Linked DNA regions of Canis lupus familiaris. The protein of the gene in region 1 interacts with the protein of each later gene in a pairwise test. Links are inferred from orthologs where the notes say so. Each region holds a gene or a part of one and is shown in the gene's direction. Other genes may lie near its edges.

Evidence for each region. The genes of interacting proteins can lie anywhere in the genome.
Region 2: the proteins of NCOA6 (region 1) and ESR2 interact in a two-hybrid assay, tested with the Homo sapiens proteins (3 studies listed by BioGRID). The link is inferred for Canis lupus familiaris from reciprocal best matches to the Homo sapiens genes NCOA6 and ESR2.
Region 3: the proteins of NCOA6 (region 1) and NR1H2 interact in a two-hybrid assay, tested with the Homo sapiens proteins (2 studies listed by BioGRID). The link is inferred for Canis lupus familiaris from reciprocal best matches to the Homo sapiens genes NCOA6 and NR1H2.

Annotation. Positions count from the first base shown.
Region 1 is NC_049245.1:24,402,027-24,407,991, reverse strand, and holds the start of NCOA6 (nuclear receptor coactivator 6), read left to right. Parts: upstream 1-1,933; 5' UTR 1,934-2,077; intron 2,078-5,965. UniProt on the Homo sapiens protein: Nuclear receptor coactivator that directly binds nuclear receptors and stimulates the transcriptional activities in a hormone-dependent fashion. Coactivates expression in an agonist- and AF2-dependent manner.
Region 2 is NC_049229.1:38,986,127-38,992,252, reverse strand, and holds the start of ESR2 (estrogen receptor beta), read left to right. Parts: upstream 1-2,108; 5' UTR 2,109-2,218; intron 2,219-6,126.
Region 3 is NC_049222.1:107,000,529-107,006,468, reverse strand, and holds the start of NR1H2 (oxysterols receptor LXR-beta), read left to right. Parts: upstream 1-1,922; 5' UTR 1,923-2,083; intron 2,084-2,196; 5' UTR 2,197-2,357; intron 2,358-2,920; 5' UTR 2,921-2,939; coding exon 2,940-2,982; intron 2,983-3,063; coding exon 3,064-3,195; intron 3,196-3,549; coding exon 3,550-3,840; intron 3,841-3,917; coding exon 3,918-4,183; intron 4,184-4,396; coding exon 4,397-4,576; intron 4,577-5,214; coding exon 5,215-5,314; intron 5,315-5,940. UniProt on the Homo sapiens protein: Nuclear receptor that exhibits a ligand-dependent transcriptional activation activity. Binds preferentially to double-stranded oligonucleotide direct repeats having the consensus half-site sequence 5'-AGGTCA-3' and 4-nt spacing (DR-4).

The DNA of each region.
Region 1 (5,965 bases):
CAGGATTTTAAAAAAGATTTTATTTATTCATGGGAGATACAGAGAGAGAGAGAGAGAGAGAGAGAGAGACATAGGCAGAGGGAGAAGCAGACTCCAAGCAGGGAGCCCCATGCAGGACTCAATCCTGGATTCCAGGATCACGCCCTGAGCTGAAGGCAGACACTCAACCACTGAGCCACTCAGGCATCCCTTTTCCAGGATCTTGTAAGTCCTTTTGGTATTAATTTCCTAGGCTCAAGGGCCTAAGATGCCTTCTTGTGGCAATCTGTGCTTCTCTTTTTCTTTGCCCTCTTGGTTCCATCACCTAGCATAGTGTCCAGGATGCACAAATACAGCAAATATTTATTAGCACCTCCTGTGTCAGGCACTGTGCTATATGCTGAGGAAATGGTAGTAAACAAGATGGATAAAGTCTCCCTCCTTATGGAGTCCACAGTCTAATGGTGAAGACAAGGAATAAACAACCTAGTGTGTCTTATTGAGGACGAAAGAACCTGTCTGGGGAATGGTCAGGGAAGGAGACCTTGAGGTAGTGATGTTTGAGCTGGGATCTGAAGGCTGATGAGTTATCAAAGTAAGGAGAGTATTTCAGGCACAAGGATCAGCACGTTCAAGGGTCCTGAGAAAGAAGAAAGTATAATGTGTGAAGATCACTGTAATCACAGCCGAGAGAGAAAAGAAGAGCTCCCTAAGATAAGTCTGGAGATGTGGCAAGGGCAACAGTAAGACATCTATTTGGCCTTTATCTTAAGAGCAATATGGACCACCAAATAGTTTTAAATAGAAGGGAGACATGATAAAATTTCTGACTTAGAAACATTAGTCTGACAGCAGGGTGGAGAAAAGATTAAAGGGGAGCCAGGGAAGATGTGAAAAGGCCTTGGATCACTATTGCACCAGTTCAAGCCCACAGTGTGTGCTCAATGGAATGAAAGGACTCCAGTCTCCTTTTCTGAGATGAGATCAGTATGCCTGACCAGTTGTTTACAACCCACCGGCTCATCTTCTCTCTCCTGTGATGCTCATGACAGACTCTTAGCTCCCATTTCACAGATGAATAAGCCGAGATTCAGAGGCAAAGAAAGTCACATAGCTATCAAGAGTGAAAGCCAGGGATCCCTGGGTGGTGCAGCGGTTTGGCGCCTGCCTTTGGCCCAGGGCGCGATCCTGGAGTCCCGGAATCGAATCCCACGTAGGGCTCCCGGTGCATGGACCCTGCTTCTCCCTCCGCCTGTGTCTCCGCCTCTCTCTCTCTCTCTCTCTCTGTGACAATCATAAATAAATAAATTAATTAATTAATTTAAAAAAAAAGAGTGAAAGCCAGTTCTGAATCCAGGCCTGTACGACAGACATCAATTCCAGTACTGGACATTTGGGGAGAGGGAAGGAGCCACATTCTCTTGCACCTACTGAGCTTACTAGCATGATGGTGATGGGAAAAAGCAGAGAGGGACTTATAGGCAAATAATAAAGGCTAAAGGTTATCTTTATCACCGTTAACGTTATTGGACACTATGCGTCAGGCATTGTGCCAAGTGCTTTCCTTGTCTTCATTTCCTCTTTGCAAGCACTATTATTATCCCCTTATTTCAGATATGTAAACTGAGGCTTGGAGCGCTGACTTGCCCAAGCACACTCAGCCAGAGGGCTCCTATAAGGCTGTGCACTACTCTGAAACGGAGCCAAGAGCCACTGATGATATTAAGGCTCCAGGAGACAGAAACTCTCCCGACCCGGGCACTAAGCTCTGCACGCAAGTGAGCGGGCGCGCGCTCCGCCTCGCGCTCTCGGGGACGTTTGGCCACGTGACCAGGGCCCGCCCCCGCCCGCCCCGCCCCCTCCCGCGCTCCCACCCTCTCTCCCTCCCTCCCCCTCCCTCCCCAGCCCGGTCCGGCCCATCCCCCTCCCCGCCGGCTCCCTGAGGCCCTGCCGGGTCGGGCTGCGGGCGGCCGGGCGCCGACGGCCGGACAGACGGACGCACGCGAGGACGGACTGACGGACACACGGAGGGCGGCGGGCGCGCACGGCCCGGGCCGGTGCTCCGAGGCCCGCCCGGGAGGGCTGGGGCCGCGCTCAGGTGAGGTGACGGCGACGCGGGCCCGTAAGGGGTGGGCCCGCCGGGCGTCTGGGGTCCCGGTCCCGCTGGCTCCGCGGGAAGGAGGCGCCGCCCGGGCCCGGCGCGGGAAAATGGCGCCGGCCGGCAGTGGAACACGGCTCCTGTGCGGGCCCGGCCCGGAGCCGCCCCGCCCGCCGCGCTCGTGTCCCCGTCGCCATGTTGGGGAGCGGGCCCCGGGCCTGCGGGCGGGGGTGCTGCGGGGAGCGGGGGCCGGCCGGGGTTGGGGAGGGTGCGCGACGCGGGGTCTAGGGCGCTGAGGAAGTGCAGGGCCGGCTGGGGTCTGCACGGGGTGGCGCTCCAGGCCAGAGGAACTGGCGGGAGCCGAACGTGGGGTCGTGGCTGGGGGTCGAGAAGGGACACTGAGTCCAAACGGAACTGGGGCCAGGGTCCTTGAGGCTGGAGGCCAGGACCGGAGTTTAGTCAGGCTATTCACGTTCGGGACCTCGGGGCCGGCAGGACCCAAAGGGGCGTGGGGTCCACGCTCAGGCTGTCAGAGCCGGGACAGTTCTTTGTGGAGGCGCGGAGGGTGGAGGGGGGAGGCTGTGATTAGAAATATTAGAAATGGGGGCCCTTTGGATACAGGCGCGAGTATGAGATTGGAGCGGTTCTCTGAGTCGCGGGGCCGAATTGCAAGTCGTCCAACTCCCAAGAGACTGAGGACATATGTTCCCCTAGCATGTTCCACTCCCAATTAGGAAGAGCAGTGGAAAATAGGAAGACTGATGAGAAGAGAGAAAAGGGAGGCTGCGGTTCGGGTGCAGGAGCTGGCCAGCATAGGGTGGAACTGGTTGGCAAGAAGAAAGAACCTCCGTCAACTTAGGGAGTTTGTGTGTGTCTTTAAAAGGAGGGACCGGGCTGTTTGTGGGCGGTGACCCAAGGTGTCTTCCCAGGAAGGGGACAGCCCACTGTTTTAAGAGCAGGGTCACCTGGGGAGGTCATCACAAAGGCTTTTTTTGAAGCCAGTGAGAATGGTGTAGAAAAATGAATGTGTGAATGAAAACTACAAGGGTCTTAGAGATCACAGAACAACTTCAGAACGTGTAAGGATTTTAGCTGAGCCAGATAAAGTTGACTCCTCAAGATCTCACAAGTTCCTGGCTCTGGAGGTCCACCGCCTTAGTGGAATTTGTTAGCTCTGAGAAAATTGTTAAGGAGAGCTATAGCAGCAAATATCAAAGAACGGTTACTCTGTTTTTGTTTTGGTAATTAGTTTGTCAGTAGAAAGACTGAAGAGGAATACAAAAAAAGTACTGGTAACCAGCTATTTGATCATTTCCAGCCTACCTGCATTTGTGCAAAGAAGTTATCTTCAGAACCCTTTTGACTTCTAACTTTTTAGAGTTTTAAGAGATGCTCCTTCTGTTCTAGGGGTTTACAGCAAAGGGACACCAAAAAGTGAAAAAGATAACAGTGAACAATGGTACACACCCAGGATTTCTATCTTGATCAAACTTTAATTGAAGTTTGATCAAGATAGAGAAGAGTTCAGAGTTCATATGGGTTATGGAAGAATTCTGAGGGAAACTATGAAATATTATGAAATAGTAGTTACAGGCTCCCATAAAATCAAAAAGGACTTTCAACAAAAAGGTTATGAAAATGTACATAGCAAGTAAGATTTTCAATATATGTCCAGTGCGTTTATACTATATATGTGTGTGTGTGTGTATATATATATATATATATACACACACACACCCCCACACACACAGCATCAAGATTCATTTGTTCTGGATCTTTTTTTTTTTTTTTAAATTTATTTATTTTGAGAGAGAGCGTGCGGGTGCTCATGAGAGTGGGGTGAGGGGCAGAAGGAGAAGCAGACTCCCCGCTGAGCAGGGAGCCCAATGTAGGGCTCCATGCTGGAATTGCGAGATCATGACCTGTGCTGCAGACAGAGGGTTAATCAACTGAGCCACCCAAGCATCCCTATTCTGGATATTTCTAATGCAAGAAGGCCTGACTTTGTGCAGTAGATCCCTCTGCCATCTAGTAAAACTGCTCAGAATGATAATAACCCCTCTCAGAATAATATTTTTAATTGAGTAAAACAAAATACACTGTATTATAGAGAAAACCATTATATTGAAATACCAAAATACACAAATTATAAAATAGTGATATAGATATACTTTATCAATACATTAAGAAATCAGATCTAGTGATGGGTGTGATAATTACAATTTTAACACATGGTGAACATAAATAATATTTTGAGATATCAGCAACAATTGTAATATAATGTAAAGATATCTGTGGTAACTGTGACACAGTTACTGTCATAGATACTGCTAATATTAGAGTGGTTTGTTGCCTACAATTTATATTTGAAGAAAATGGTAACTTTCAGTTAGAGGTTAGTGAAAATAAATAGGTGGGGTTTTTTTCCTATCCAAGTTCACAGACCCCTCTGAATTCTGTCTGTGGATTCCCATCTGTGAACCCCAGGTTAAGAAACCCTACTCCTACCACCAGGCATATCTTCTATTCAGCAGACATTTACTGTGCACTAAGATATTCTAAGCATTATGCCAGGCTCTAAGGATTCAAAGGTCTTTAAGGAAGGGTCTTTTCACTTTAGATATTCAATCTTATGAGAGAAATGAACATATAAACAATGATAGTTCAAGATGGTGAATGCCAAAGCAGTGTCAAAGGTTGTAAAAACATAGAGGTGGGCAATGTCTCAGTTCTAAGAGTCAGGGAAGGTTTTGTGAAGGGGTGATCCTGAAAGGTGAAGGAGTTTGCCAGATAGAGTTGGGAGAAAAGAGCTTTCCAGGTAAAGGCATGCACGTTCAGGGAATATAGTTGAATGTGGCTAGAGCATAATATATGTGTAGAAAAGTGGTCAGAGAGGAGATGAACATTTGTTTGGAACCTGGCTTCTTCTTAGCAAAAGGACTTTGCTAAGAAGTTTGGACGGAATCTTTAGCTGATAGGGAAGCATTCATGGATTCCAAGGAGTAGAGTATGTGATTTGGTTTAGTTTTAGGTGATAAATGGATGTTCTTTGTTTTTGTTTTTTTTTTTATTATTATTCATTTATGATAGTCACACACACAGAGAGAGAGAGGCAGAGACACAGGCAGAGGGAGAAGCAGGCTCCATGCACCGGGAGCCCGACGTGGGATTCCGGTTCTCCAGGATCACGCCCTGGGCCAAAGGCAGGCGCTAAACCGCTGCGCCACCTAGGGATCCCAATGGATGTTCTTTGAATGGAGAGTGGATTGGAGAGCACGGAAGAAATAACGAGGGCCTAGTCAAGACAGAGGCTGTGAGCTTTGAACAAAGTTAGAATTTTCAGGTATTGATAATTGCCATTGCACATGGTAAAAGAAAAGGAATATTTTAGATTTTTGGTTTGGGCTGATAGCTGTCAAAGAGGTTATAAAAAGGGTGAAAGGAAAATGAAGCAACAATTTTCACAGATATTAAGGGAGAAGTTTTTTGGAGTAGAGTAATAGATTGGGAAACCATTGTGAAGCTATCAAGTGTGGTATGGTTTTTGCTTAAGGAAATCAGGTAAGTGTCAGCAGACATAAAGCAGGGAAAGTATTCCTAGAATGTAGGAAAATCACAACCATCTATATCAGGGTCAAGAAACTATGGGCCATGTCAGATTTGGCCCACCACCTATTCAGGTAAATAAAGTTTTATTGCAACACAAGCACAGTTATTTATGTATTGCCTTTAGCTGCTTTCACCCTATCAATGGCAGAGTTGAGTAGTTTCACAGGGAAGATATAGTTCACAAAGCTGAAAATATTTACTGTCTGGATTTTTACTAAAGATGCTTGCCAATCTGATCAGCATTTGAAGATTGGATGTTCAACTTCTGGTTTGCCATCT
Region 2 (6,126 bases), on another chromosome or scaffold:
AGGTAGTTGATATAAGCTCTGCGAGCCAGTTTCCTCATCTGAGGAGGGTTAACATTACCAGTTCACAGAGCTCCCATGTCGATTAAATGGGATGTGGTGCAAGCACTTCTTTGCACACTCCCTGGCACAATGTAGATACTTGACATTTGTCAGCTTTCTTCACCCTCACATTATCTTGGCCTGCCTAGTGGCTCAAGACTGAAGTTCCTTCATAATAATTTCTCGTCCAGATGTATCTTGTTAACAAGCAAGTACTTCCAAATAGAACTGATATTTTAAAACCATCGCTTAAAATTTTCTTCGGTACAAAGGAGGAAGGAGCCTGTGGGCACTGGGTACTATTCAGGGACACCCGAGAGAGGGAACAAGGAAAGCCGAGATTGGCAAAGCATCTTGTCTCTATAGTCTTACACAGGTGAAGCTGGTCAGCCGCACACCCTCCTGTTCAAACTAACTTCTCTGCCTCCAGGATCAGGAAACCCTGCCTTACAACCTGAGAGCATCCAGGAGTCCCTGCTTTAATGAAAATTGAGGGCGTGGGGCAGTAGAGATTGTATCTATCCACTGTTTATAAAGTGGGTGGCTCTCCACATTTGGAGCCTGCTTTCACTACCTGTGGACCTCACTCTCCTAAACCCAGAGCACACTAGAGTCGGCTTGGGCCATTTTTGGCTAAACCCCAACACTTGAGGCAGGCATTGTAAGTTTCCCTCCAGATGCCCTCTTGGTCTTCTTTTATCAGAGATCTGGAGTCACAACCAGATCAAGAACCACGTCCCTTATGCCACGTGTATGGATAGTTTGATGATTAATTAGACACAAATGTGGCACTGGGGTCTGAGAATGGCTTATGGGACATATGCAACTTACCATTGGATTTTCGCCACCAGTGGCTGCCCTAACGCCAGGTGCTGCTTAACGACTAGGGAAAGTCCTCAGGCTGTGGGCTGTGCTGCAGGGTGGGCGAGGAGAGCTTGGGGACTCCGCAGACCTGGGGGACTGGAGCTGCCACCAGGGGGCTCAGGCCTGCAGGGAGCTCCACGGAGGCCCTGCGGAGGGAAGAGGGGCGCCGCCAGCGGCAGAGGCAGATGTCCCCCCAGCTGCCTCTTTTGGCAGCGGTGAGTGAGGAGGTTCCTGGGCTCCTTGCTCTAAGGCGAAAGGCCTCCCCAGCCGGCCGCTCAGAACCCGCACCCGCCATCTACCTCCACGGCCTCGTGGCTTGGCCTCTCCAGGGGCACGAACCTGCCCTTGGGCCCCGGACTGAGAAAACCCAAAGCCTCTCTAGTTTCACCACTGGATTCTTAAGAGTCAGATTTCTGGGGGCACCTTCCGTGGTTGAGCCTCTGCCTTCCGCTCAGGGCGTGATCCTGGGGTCCCGGGATCGAGTCCCACGTTGGGTTCCCTGCACGGAGCCTGCTTCTCCCTCTGCCTGTGTCTCTGCCTCTCTCTCTGTGTGTCTCTCATGAGTAAATAAATTCTTAAAAAAAAAAAAAAAAGTCAGACTTCTGTATTTAAATGACCCCGAAGCATCCACTGACAGACCCACGTGGGGCACGGTCTAGGGACGTGAATCTTCAAAGTGTGGCCCCCCCACCGGGCAGCATCCGTTTGGGCTTGGTCCTGCACCGGGTTGGAAATGCGCATTCTCAGGCCCCGCCCCAGACCTCCCAAACCCAGGCCGGCGGGAAGGGCGCCTCGAGTGCTCGCTCCCCGGGGCTTCTCCCTCCGCCCAGGTGAGTGTGGATGGCGAGACACGGGGAGTCCGCGTCCTCCCGAGATTTCTGGGCAGCCGGCTCGGTGGTCACGTGGGCTCTTGGAGGCTTTCTCCGCCGCCCCCGGGTCTTTAAAAGGGAGGAGAGGCTCCTCGTTAAGTCGTTGGTGATCTTTGCAGCGTCTCCGGCTCCTGGACCTGTTGAAACCGGGTTCGCGCCCCTGCAGCCAGGCAGCCCGAAGCGCCGAGGGGGCGGGGACCGCCGGGGAAACTTGCGGTGGGTGGGAGGGGGCGGCGGGAGCGCGGAGGGGGACCGCGGCGGCGGCGGGCGGCGGGCGGCGATCCAGCTGCGCTCGGGCTCCGGCTCCGCTCCGGCTCCGCTCCGGCTCCGCGCCGCGCGGTGGGCGCGCTCTCCGGCCCCGGGACCGCGGGGCCCGCGGCGGGCGGCTGCTCCGGGAGAGGCCGGGCCCGCGTGACAGAGACCCCTGGGCGCCGTGCACCTGCAAGGTAAGGGCCCCCCGGCCGGCTCGAGGTGGGACTGTCTGCTCCTCTGTGTGAAAGCCAAGGATGCGAAAGCAGCAATATTGAGAACAATGACAGACCCCCGCCTCCGCCCGAAACCACTTGTCTTGAAAACTATAGGAAACAGAAATTTCACGCTCTAAGTATTTTCACTCAAGACGCTGGCAAGTTAATTTAATTAGTTTGTGCCTGTAAACTCCGGATTGATACGTGTCTTTTTGAAAGAAAAAAACTCTAGATTTTTTCTTTCTTTCTTTTCTTTCTTTTATTTTTCTTTCTTTCTTTTCCTCTTTTTTTTCTTTCTTTTCGTTCTTTCTTTCTTTCTTTCTTTCTCTCTTTCTTTCTCTCTTTCTTTCTCTCTTTCTCTCTTTCTCTCTTTCTTTCTTTCTTTCTTTCTTCTTTCCTCCTATGGATTTCCCGAAAAAGGGTGAAATGATGAGCGTGGGAAAGTTGAACGAGGACTTCATGCTTGAGTTTTGTGGGCCTGGGAAGGTGTACGTGGATCAAGCAGGTGACCGGTGTTTTAAATGTATTAAGTGCCACTGCTCAGTGATATAAAAAACAGATTTGCTTCTGTCCTGGGTGAACTGAGCAAGATCTAAGATCTGGTCTGTTTTATTTGCTGAAGAGGAAGCCAGCTGCTCTTCTCTTGTCCCTTTGTGTTACCATTCGTGCCTGATTCATTTCGGAAGCCTAAAATTAAGTCAAGGGAATAATATTTTTTTGTAAAAAAAATTTGGGTTTGAGTGAATTTCTATTTAGGAAAACCAGGTTGACTCAATTTTACTAGCTTTTTAAAAAAGCAGCTTTGTGCTTTGGTGTAGTACACAACCCTTTGGAGGTAAGATTTTTGCCTTACTAGACTTTTAGTATTTTCATGGACATGCCATTGGGAATTTTTACTTTTAAGTTTCTGAACTCACAGTGGCTATTATATGTGGAGAAAGGTATTCGTTACTTAAGTGAACATGTGGAAAGAAAGGTTTCTGCCGTTAAGTATTGTAAAAAAGTATGTGTTCTCTGACTATGACACTTCTTCTTTGCCTTTTATTTTTTCTGCAGAAAAATCTATATTTCTGCATATACTCAAGAAGAGGGAGAATGTAAGGTGTTAAAGCATAATCTTAGGATCCATTTTACATTCAATCTTCTTTTTTTCAGTTGAATTACTGAAACATTCTTATTTCAAAAACAGCCAGTCTCCTGTAACTCTTAAGACTTGAAAATCTCTGAAATCTATTAAAAACACAGAATACATTTCATAGTGGTTCTGAGGGACTCAAATGAATCTAATGACCTTTTCTATTCCTCAGTTTACTTATAATATGGAAAAGGTAAAATTTAGTAGTAAATTTAACCCTTCAAAACATAATTAACATCTAATAGATATTGAAATGTTCATTTTTAAGAGTAAAACACTACAGTTTTCTATATATCTATATTCAAGTAATGGTGCAAAATACATCTGATAATTTTAGTTTATGTTTTGAGCCACTTTATATAATACTTGTAAATATGTAATGATTATATAAAACACTGAAGGCTGAACTTGAATCATTTACTGGTAAGTTTTTTCCTAATTACATCTAGAACATTGAGAACTGTATACTTGAATGTTACACTTCATAATTTAGTGGAAATGGACATTATAGCCATTTTAAAAAGGCAGGTTCCTGGCAATATAATTTATATACAGTAAAACCTAGCCTCTTTAGGTTACCCTTTATGAATTCTGACAGTTGCAACATTTATATAATCACTTCTACAGTCAAGACCTAGAAGAGTGCCATCACTCCCAAAAGTCCCCTTTGTGTGTTTGTAATCAGCCCCCCCACCCATCCTCACCCCCTGAAAAATCACTGAACTGTTCCCTAATTTTACTGTTCTGTTCTTCAGTATGTTTTTACCCAGAAATAATTAATCTTCCTATGCTTTTTGCAAAAGAGAATCCCAGTCTCCCTCAACCCCCCTTTTTGTTGGGATGAGTCAGGTTGTGGTATTTTTGTTTTACTCCTTATATACTTTGGAATGAATTGAGGCAAAGAAAAGCTATTTTGCAAATGGGACTGTTAGGTTCCCATTGGGCTAATAGATTTCATTCTTAGCACATTCGGATTCCATTGTGGGCTAAGTCTTTTGTTCTGGTGTGCATCTGGATTATCACCAACTGAATACAGGGTTTTTAAAAAGAAACATTGGTCATTTATGTAATATTAATAGAATGTATTGTATTTATATAACTAGGCATTTAAAAAATACTTTTATTATATTTGAGAGTACAAAAGTTACCTGAAATTACGTACGATTAATTAGTGAGGAGCAGAAAAGTAATTAAAAATGGCAATCTGGAGACATTGAAAATCTAATATAGAGTGATTGTGACTTAAGTTAAAAAATACTGTCCTTATTAAGAGTTGAGGTCTGTGCCCAATTTATGTGTTGATGTCAGAGTTTTTCCATTTCTGTGCTCATGCTTTGAAATCTAGATTTTCTTGCAGGACATATTCTTTACTGTTTAATGCATTATTCAATTTAGAGAATAGCTAGGAGTCTGTTATTGTTAAGCACTCCTAATAAAGATATGTCAGATGATGTCTTTTTCCTTTCTCCTTTGTGCTATGAAAAGAGGAGGCCGTATTTTCTACATGCAGCTTACCTTTCAGAGAACTACAGAGGCAGTAACTAGGATAAGCAGAGTGGCATGCTGAGGAAGCACCAGCAAACTGAGTGGTTGGCATTCCTAGCTGGAGGTTTTATACCTCTTCATAAATTAAGGGCCTTCAGCGGGGATTCTGGGTATGGGTGTACTTAACAGAGAGCAGGAGAGTAAGGGTCACTGTCAAGGCAGCTTACTGGATTTGGTATGTTTCCTCAAAGCAAGACTGCAATGTTTGTGGGTAAATGTTCGTGTTCAACTGAAACCCAGGACCGGAAGAGGAGATGAGTGCATTCACTTTAACTTCTGCGTTGGTCATGACCTCTTCATTCACAACTGTCCCCTCCCTGTCCCAAATGGATATTTGAAAATGGTTCCATTTCCTAAGAGCAGTGCATTTTCTCTGATGATTGGAATTGGGAAGGGGCAGAGACTTGCTGAAGAGAGTAGACTGATGGGCTCTCCCTCCATACCCCGCCTTAGCATGTGAAGACCGTGCAGCTGAGGCTCTGGCGTCTTCACCATCAAGCTTCCAAGTTCTATTTCCTGTTCAGGTCCATAAGGTCCAGGGGGCCACAAGGGGAATTAGAGTTTTCTCATTTTGGAAGATACATGTACGTTTTCTTAAGAGTTGAATGTGAATTATTAGTGATCAGTTCTGTGGTGATTTTAGTGTTTTTTCTTTTTTTAAAAAAGATTTTATTTATTTATTCATGAGAGACATGGAGAGAGGCAGAGACACAGGGAGAGGGAGAAGCAGGTCCCTTTGGGAAGTCTGATGTGGGACTCGATCCCAGGACCTTGGGATCATGACCTGAGCCGAAGGCAGATGCTCAACCACTGAGTCACCCAGGTGTCCCAGAGTGTTTTTTCTTTTTAATGAATATTAAGTTGATCAAGAGCTGTGTTTTGCTGGGGAAGATTTAAGGCCAATGATTGATAGACAGCCACTGGCATACATCAAGGATGCTTGACACTTAAATATTTTTTATCTTTTCCACAAAATTTTTTGCAGTGTCTGCATTGTGAATGTGCATGTGTGACTTCTGTAGGGCACACAAGTGAGCGGTGTTTGAACTGAATGCTTGGGGAGGTGTGGTGGGCAGGCTCAAGAACACAGAGCAAGGAGAATGTGGCATTTTGTGCTACATATGATGCCAGCTGGCTACCAGCAGCCCAGCGATTTGGACTGGTGTAAGGAATTGTCAAGCAGAAGTTCAGAAAGTACAGTGAGGAG
Region 3 (5,940 bases), on another chromosome or scaffold:
GAGAGCTGCAATACTGTAATTTCGGATCGACATGCTCTGGCAAAACAAAACAAAACAAAACAAAACAAAACAAAACAAACAAACAAAAACCCAGGCAAGCTCAACAAAAGAAAGGAGTATTATTTTATGGAGAAGAAAGAGGAAGTTGGGAGGAGTTGTTTTGACCGAAAGTCCACTGGAGAAAAGCAAGAATTCAAGGTGAAGATGGTTTCTCATTGGATGAGTCTGGGGTAGCTGGTTTCTTATAGGAGATGCGATGTACATCTTTCCCTTTGGGGGCTTGTAATTGAGGATTCTTTCTCGTTGAGATTCTTCTGCTGGGGTCTGTCTGTAATTGACAGTCCTTCCTGTGATTGACACAGGAGTGATAACCCAGGAGAGCTCCCCCTGCTGGTCTGCCCCTTTCAATTTACTGAGGTCTCCCTTTATGAATTTTCACCCTGGATGCTTAGGTGCGCCAGGCACTGCCCCTCCTGAATCTTCACACCTTTCTTAAGAAATAGGAATAACTTCCCCTATTTTACAGATCCGTCAACTGAGACTGAGGGTGATATGCCTTGCCCCAAACTGCTGTAATTCATTTTCAGTCTCTTTCAGCCTTTTGCACTATTCTAGGGAAGTTAAAAACAACCTGAGCATCCCCAAGAATAAACACAGTTCTCACATATTAGGCTCTCCTTATTTGAACCTGACCTGACTCATTCTTTTTACCTTATTTAGTTGTAATGACAACCCAACTAACTCTTATTGGGCCCAATTTATTTTTTTTTAGATTGTATTTATCTATTCATGAGAGACCGAGAAAGAGGCAGAGACACAGGCAAAGGGAGAAGCAGGCTTCCTGCGGGGAACCTGATGCGGTCTCAATCCCAGGACCCTAGGATCACGACCTGAGCCAAAGGCAGGTGCTCAACTACTGAGCCACCCAGCCTCCTCGTTGGACCCAGTTTAGGAAAGGAAACTGAGGCACAGGCAGGGTCAATAGCCTGGCTCAACATAACACAACTAGGAAGTGACAGAGACACGAGTTCAGCCATTCTCTCCACTCTATGTCCATGTAATCACCCCTTTTAGTGGTAACATCCTCCGATTCCATAGCTTCAAGGTCATGTCGGAATGGACAAAACAAATTATAAAAGAGCATGACTCATACGTTGCAATAAAAAACGGATATATGCTCAATATAGATCTGATTATCATCCAGGGAAGACCAGAACAGTTCCCTTTTTCTACCTATTCAAGTACTGTGAGTTATCTTTAAAAGCTATTATTTGTATCACTTTGGTTATGAGGTTATGCTTTTTTTAAATCTTCATATCAACAAGTTCTTTTATATATATATATATATAAAGATTTTATTTATTTATTCATGAGAGACACACGGGGGGGGGGGGGCAGAAACACAGGCAGAGTAAGACGCAGGCTCCATGCAGGGAGCCCGATATGGGACTCGATCCCAGGACTCTAGGATCATGCCCTGGGCCAAAGGCAGGCACCAAACCGCTGAGCCACCCAGGGAGCCCTCAACAAGTTCTTTTTTTAATAGATTTTTCCTGGGTCTAGGTTTGCAATTCAATTTATTTCAAACCAATAAGCAACGTGCCTCTAAAACCAGAAAACTTGTTAATCAAACAAGGACAAACATGCTTCAAATCAACGTGTGCGACAAGGAGCAGAAGGTCGGGAGCTTTGTGACCAGTAAACCCCCAAGCTACGAGCCCAGAGAGGAACAGGGCTGGAGCAAAAGCAGCCCAGCTCCCACTCGGAAGGTTTGAGACAGGCCACGCCCCCTCCCGCACTACATTCGGGAACTGGTCCGGAACTCTCCTGCCAGGCCTCGGTGGAAATACTCCGGACGGTAAGCTTCCGGTGAGAATACGACTTCCGTGCGGGGCAGCCGATTTGGCTAGTTAAGCGGACCGGAAGTCCGTCACTCCTGACTGCCCGCCCCCTTCCTAAAGTGACGCACGGCGGGGTTGCCGGAAGAAGTGGCGAAGTTACTTTTGAGGGGATCCGAGAAGCGGCGGCGTGCCAGGGGATACAGAGAAGGAGGAGGAAAAGCAGAGCAAGGGGACAGAGGCAGGTGCACTAGAGTGTGGGGAGACTCGGGAGGCGTCCTGGGCCCGGGGCTTCCCGGCGTTCCCCGCGCTGCTCCGCTCAGCCTCCTTCTCTCCTTCCCCCCCCTCCCTTCCGTAGCTCGCGCTGTCTCCGGTTGTTTCCAGGGCAACGGGAGTAGGAGACCCCGCGAGAGGCCGCCCACAAGACCCTCGCGCGCAGCCATGAGCCCCGCCCCCCACTGGTGTTCGGAGAGGGGCGGGACCTGGAGCGAGGTGTGGGGGCGGAGCGTGAAGGGAGGGGTGAGGCGTGGCCTGACGGGAGGTGGGGCGGGGCCTGCAGGGAGGGGCACCGGCGGGGCGGGGCAAGGGGAGGGGCGGGGCGTGATGGCTGGAGTGAGGGTGGGACCTGGTAGGCTTGGGCGGGACCTAGATGGAAAAGTGGGGGTGGGGCAAGGGGAGGTGGTGGGGTCAGGGTGGGAGTTGGGGATGCTATTTCCGCGGAGGTGGGGAGTTCTTACTCGTAGGTAGGGTGAAACTGGGTGGGATGGAGGAAGTGAGGGCGGAGCACGATGGAAGCAGAAAGGGCAGTACCTGCAGGAACGGAGTGGGCGGAGCCTACGGGAGGGGCGGAGTCTAGGTGAGGGCAGGGCTGAGAGCCTGTGGAGGCCTGGAGCGGTCGGGGGCGGGCTCTGTCCCAACCTGAGGAGAGGTCCCAGAGGCAGGCAGGGGCTAGGCGGGGGTCTCTGCAGTAAAGGAGGAGCCTGGAAAAATGGAAGAAACAGGTGCCCGCATCAGGACTTGGGGCTGGCCTAACCTGAGCCTCCCTGGCCCCACAAGGCTCTCGGTCCCCCCGTATTCTGCAGGTTTCTCCGTGACTCCACCATGTCCACCCCCACCACCAGTTCTCTGGACACGCCCTTGCCTGGTGAGTGAGCTCCTTCCCGGCCCAGCCCCGACCCCCGTGGCACACTTGTCAGGAGAAACTCACTGTGCTTACCTCTCCCAGGAAATGGCCCGCCTCAAGCCAGCGCCCCATCTTCTTCACCAGCGATAAAGGAGGAGGGTCCTGAACTGTGGCCTTCGGGTCCAGATCCTGATGTCCCAGGCAGCGATTGGGCCCGCTCCGCTTGCAGCGGGGGTGAGATGGGGGCCAAGGACAGGGGCTGGGACAGGGTTGGGGAAGGATCCAGAAAGGGAGAAAGATCAGAAATGAGGATGGGAGGCTCCCAATTTCTCGTTAATTTTTTCTTCCATGCTTACTTGTCACTTTTTTTTTCTTTTTTTGCCCGTGAGCATATTTTTTTCCTACTTGATGCCACTTGTCATTTGTTCTTTGGGGTTCACTGATATGCACGCTTTTGTTTCTGAGACACCATTTCCCTGGGTCACTGTCTGTATCCTGGCTTTTTGCTTCTCTCTTGTGGGGATGATCCTTGGGCTGCAATTTCCTTCCGAGGCCCTGTGTCTCAGGGTTCCTGACCACCCACCCCAGTCGTTCCAGACCCTGCTGAGGAACCTGAGCGCAAGCGAAAGAAAGGCCCAGCCCCAAAGATGCTGGGCCATGAGCTGTGCCGTGTGTGCGGGGACAAGGCTTCTGGCTTCCACTACAACGTGCTCAGCTGCGAAGGCTGCAAGGGTTTCTTCCGGCGCAGTGTGGTCCGAGGCGGGGCCAGGCGCTACGCCTGCCGGGGTGGCGGGACCTGCCAGATGGACGCCTTCATGCGGCGCAAGTGCCAGCAGTGCCGGCTGCGCAAGTGCAAGGAGGCCGGGATGAGGGAGCAGTGTGAGTGCTGGGGGGAGAGCCGGCCGGACCCCTGCCCAGCCCTGGGGCCTCTGCTGAGGCCTCTGTCTCCCGAACAGGCGTCCTCTCGGAGGAACAGATCCGAAAGAAGAAGATTCGGAAGCAGCAACAGCAGCAGCAGCAACAGTCACCAGTAGGGCCAATGGGCAGCAGCACAGCTTGTGGACCTGGGGCCTCCCCTGGAGGGTCTGACGGAGGCGGCCAGGGCTCTGGGGAAGGCGAGGGTATTCAGTTAACAGCTGCTCAGGAACTAATGATCCAACAGTTGGTGGCAGCTCAACTGCAGTGCAACAAACGCTCCTTCTCTGACCAGCCCAAAGTCACGGTACCTCCCCTCCCACAGCCTTGAGGGATGATGAGCATGGTGGGGTTGAGCCAGTAAGGCTGTAGCCAAGGGCATGGGGAGGTAACAAGCCTTCAGAGGGCAGGGCCTTGGAGAGGAGGGTCTCCTAGGGTACAGTCTTTGCCTCAAGGTGTCCCTGCAGCCTTGGGCTTGAGGGAGAAGTCCTGAGAATAACCCTGGCCCCTGTTTCCCCAGCCCTGGCCTCTGGGTGCAGACCCCCAGTCCCGCGATGCCCGCCAGCAGCGTTTTGCCCACTTCACGGAACTAGCCATCATCTCAGTCCAGGAGATTGTGGATTTCGCCAAACAAGTGCCTGGCTTCCTGCAGCTGGGCCGCGAGGACCAGATCGCCCTCCTGAAGGCGTCTACCATTGAGGTAATGGGCAGTCTGCCCATCCTCTACAAGGCCCTTCCTTCCTGCCCATGAGGAGCTCCAGGGATAAGCCTCAGGAAAGCTGTTGGGAGTATAGTGATGAGTCATATACCTCCAGTTGTTGCCCTTGTGGAGAGGATACCCTACAGGGGAAGGCCAAAATACTAAACAGATAATCAGAGCCTCCCATGAGCCAAAGAGAACAAGGAAAGGGGCCGGGGCTGGGAAAAATCGAGGATTGGGCTGGAAAGAATGTGGTGCTGGGAAGGCTATTCAGATGAGTTGGCATTTAATCCAAAGCAACCATAACAAATAAATATTGAATTCCTAGCATATATGAGGCTCCACTCCAAGTGCTGAGTATGTGGCAATGAAGAAAACAGACTGCCTGTCCCCATGCCTCATAACCACCTGGGAAGAGTATCCCAAGTAGAGGGTGCTGTGGGTGCTAAACCTGGAGGAGAGAGAGTTTGGGGTATCTGACATGCTGACTGCAGGCTGGGGTGACTGAGGGAACAAGGGATGATTTCTGGCGAGATTAGGTCCCCCCACAGGCCAAGAGAGGAGAGACCAGTGGCTAAAGGGTCATAGGGACTCCTAGAGCCCCTGCCCCTGCCTACTTCTCTCCCTGCTGTCCCCAGATCATGCTGCTAGAGACGGCCAGACGCTACAACCATGAGACCGAGTGCATCACTTTCCTGAAGGACTTTACCTATAGCAAGGATGACTTTCACCGTGCAGGTACAACAGAGAGTGGACTGGCAGGGTGCAGGGCTCGTGCCCCTGCTGGGCCCCTACTGGTGGGAGACCTCAGGCCCTCATTCTTGTCTGCCTCCATTTCTTTATTTCCAAAGCATGGGGAGCTATCCTTGTGGTGAGATAAGGGTACAGAATGCCGAGTCTGTGCACTAGGATGCAATGCAGGATGAGGTGAAGGGGGCTCTACTGTCACATAGGGCATTTTGATAGGAATTAAGAAAAAACGCTCCCTCCTCCCAAAACCTGGTGTCACTGGAGGAAGACTGCATCTTAGTCCATTGCAACCTACTCAACTGTACAGGGCAGTCCTGGTCCCTGCCCTCCAAGAACATTTACCTGGGGATGTGACCTAGGTGGTGGGCTTTTGGAGGAAGTTGAGGCCTTAGGGGTGAGATTTATCACCTAGGAAAAGGGAATTGGGGAGTAGCATTGCCTTCTGGGAACCCCATGTAGAAAAACGCTGTGCTCGTTCAGTCTCTGGGCTTTCTCTATAAGTCCTGCTCTCCCTCACCATCTCTTCCTGGGGCACCTGTCTATACTCCCACATGTGTGTTCCTAACCTCATCCTCTTCCCTTCCTCAAACCCCTGGCCATCTCAACCCCCTTTG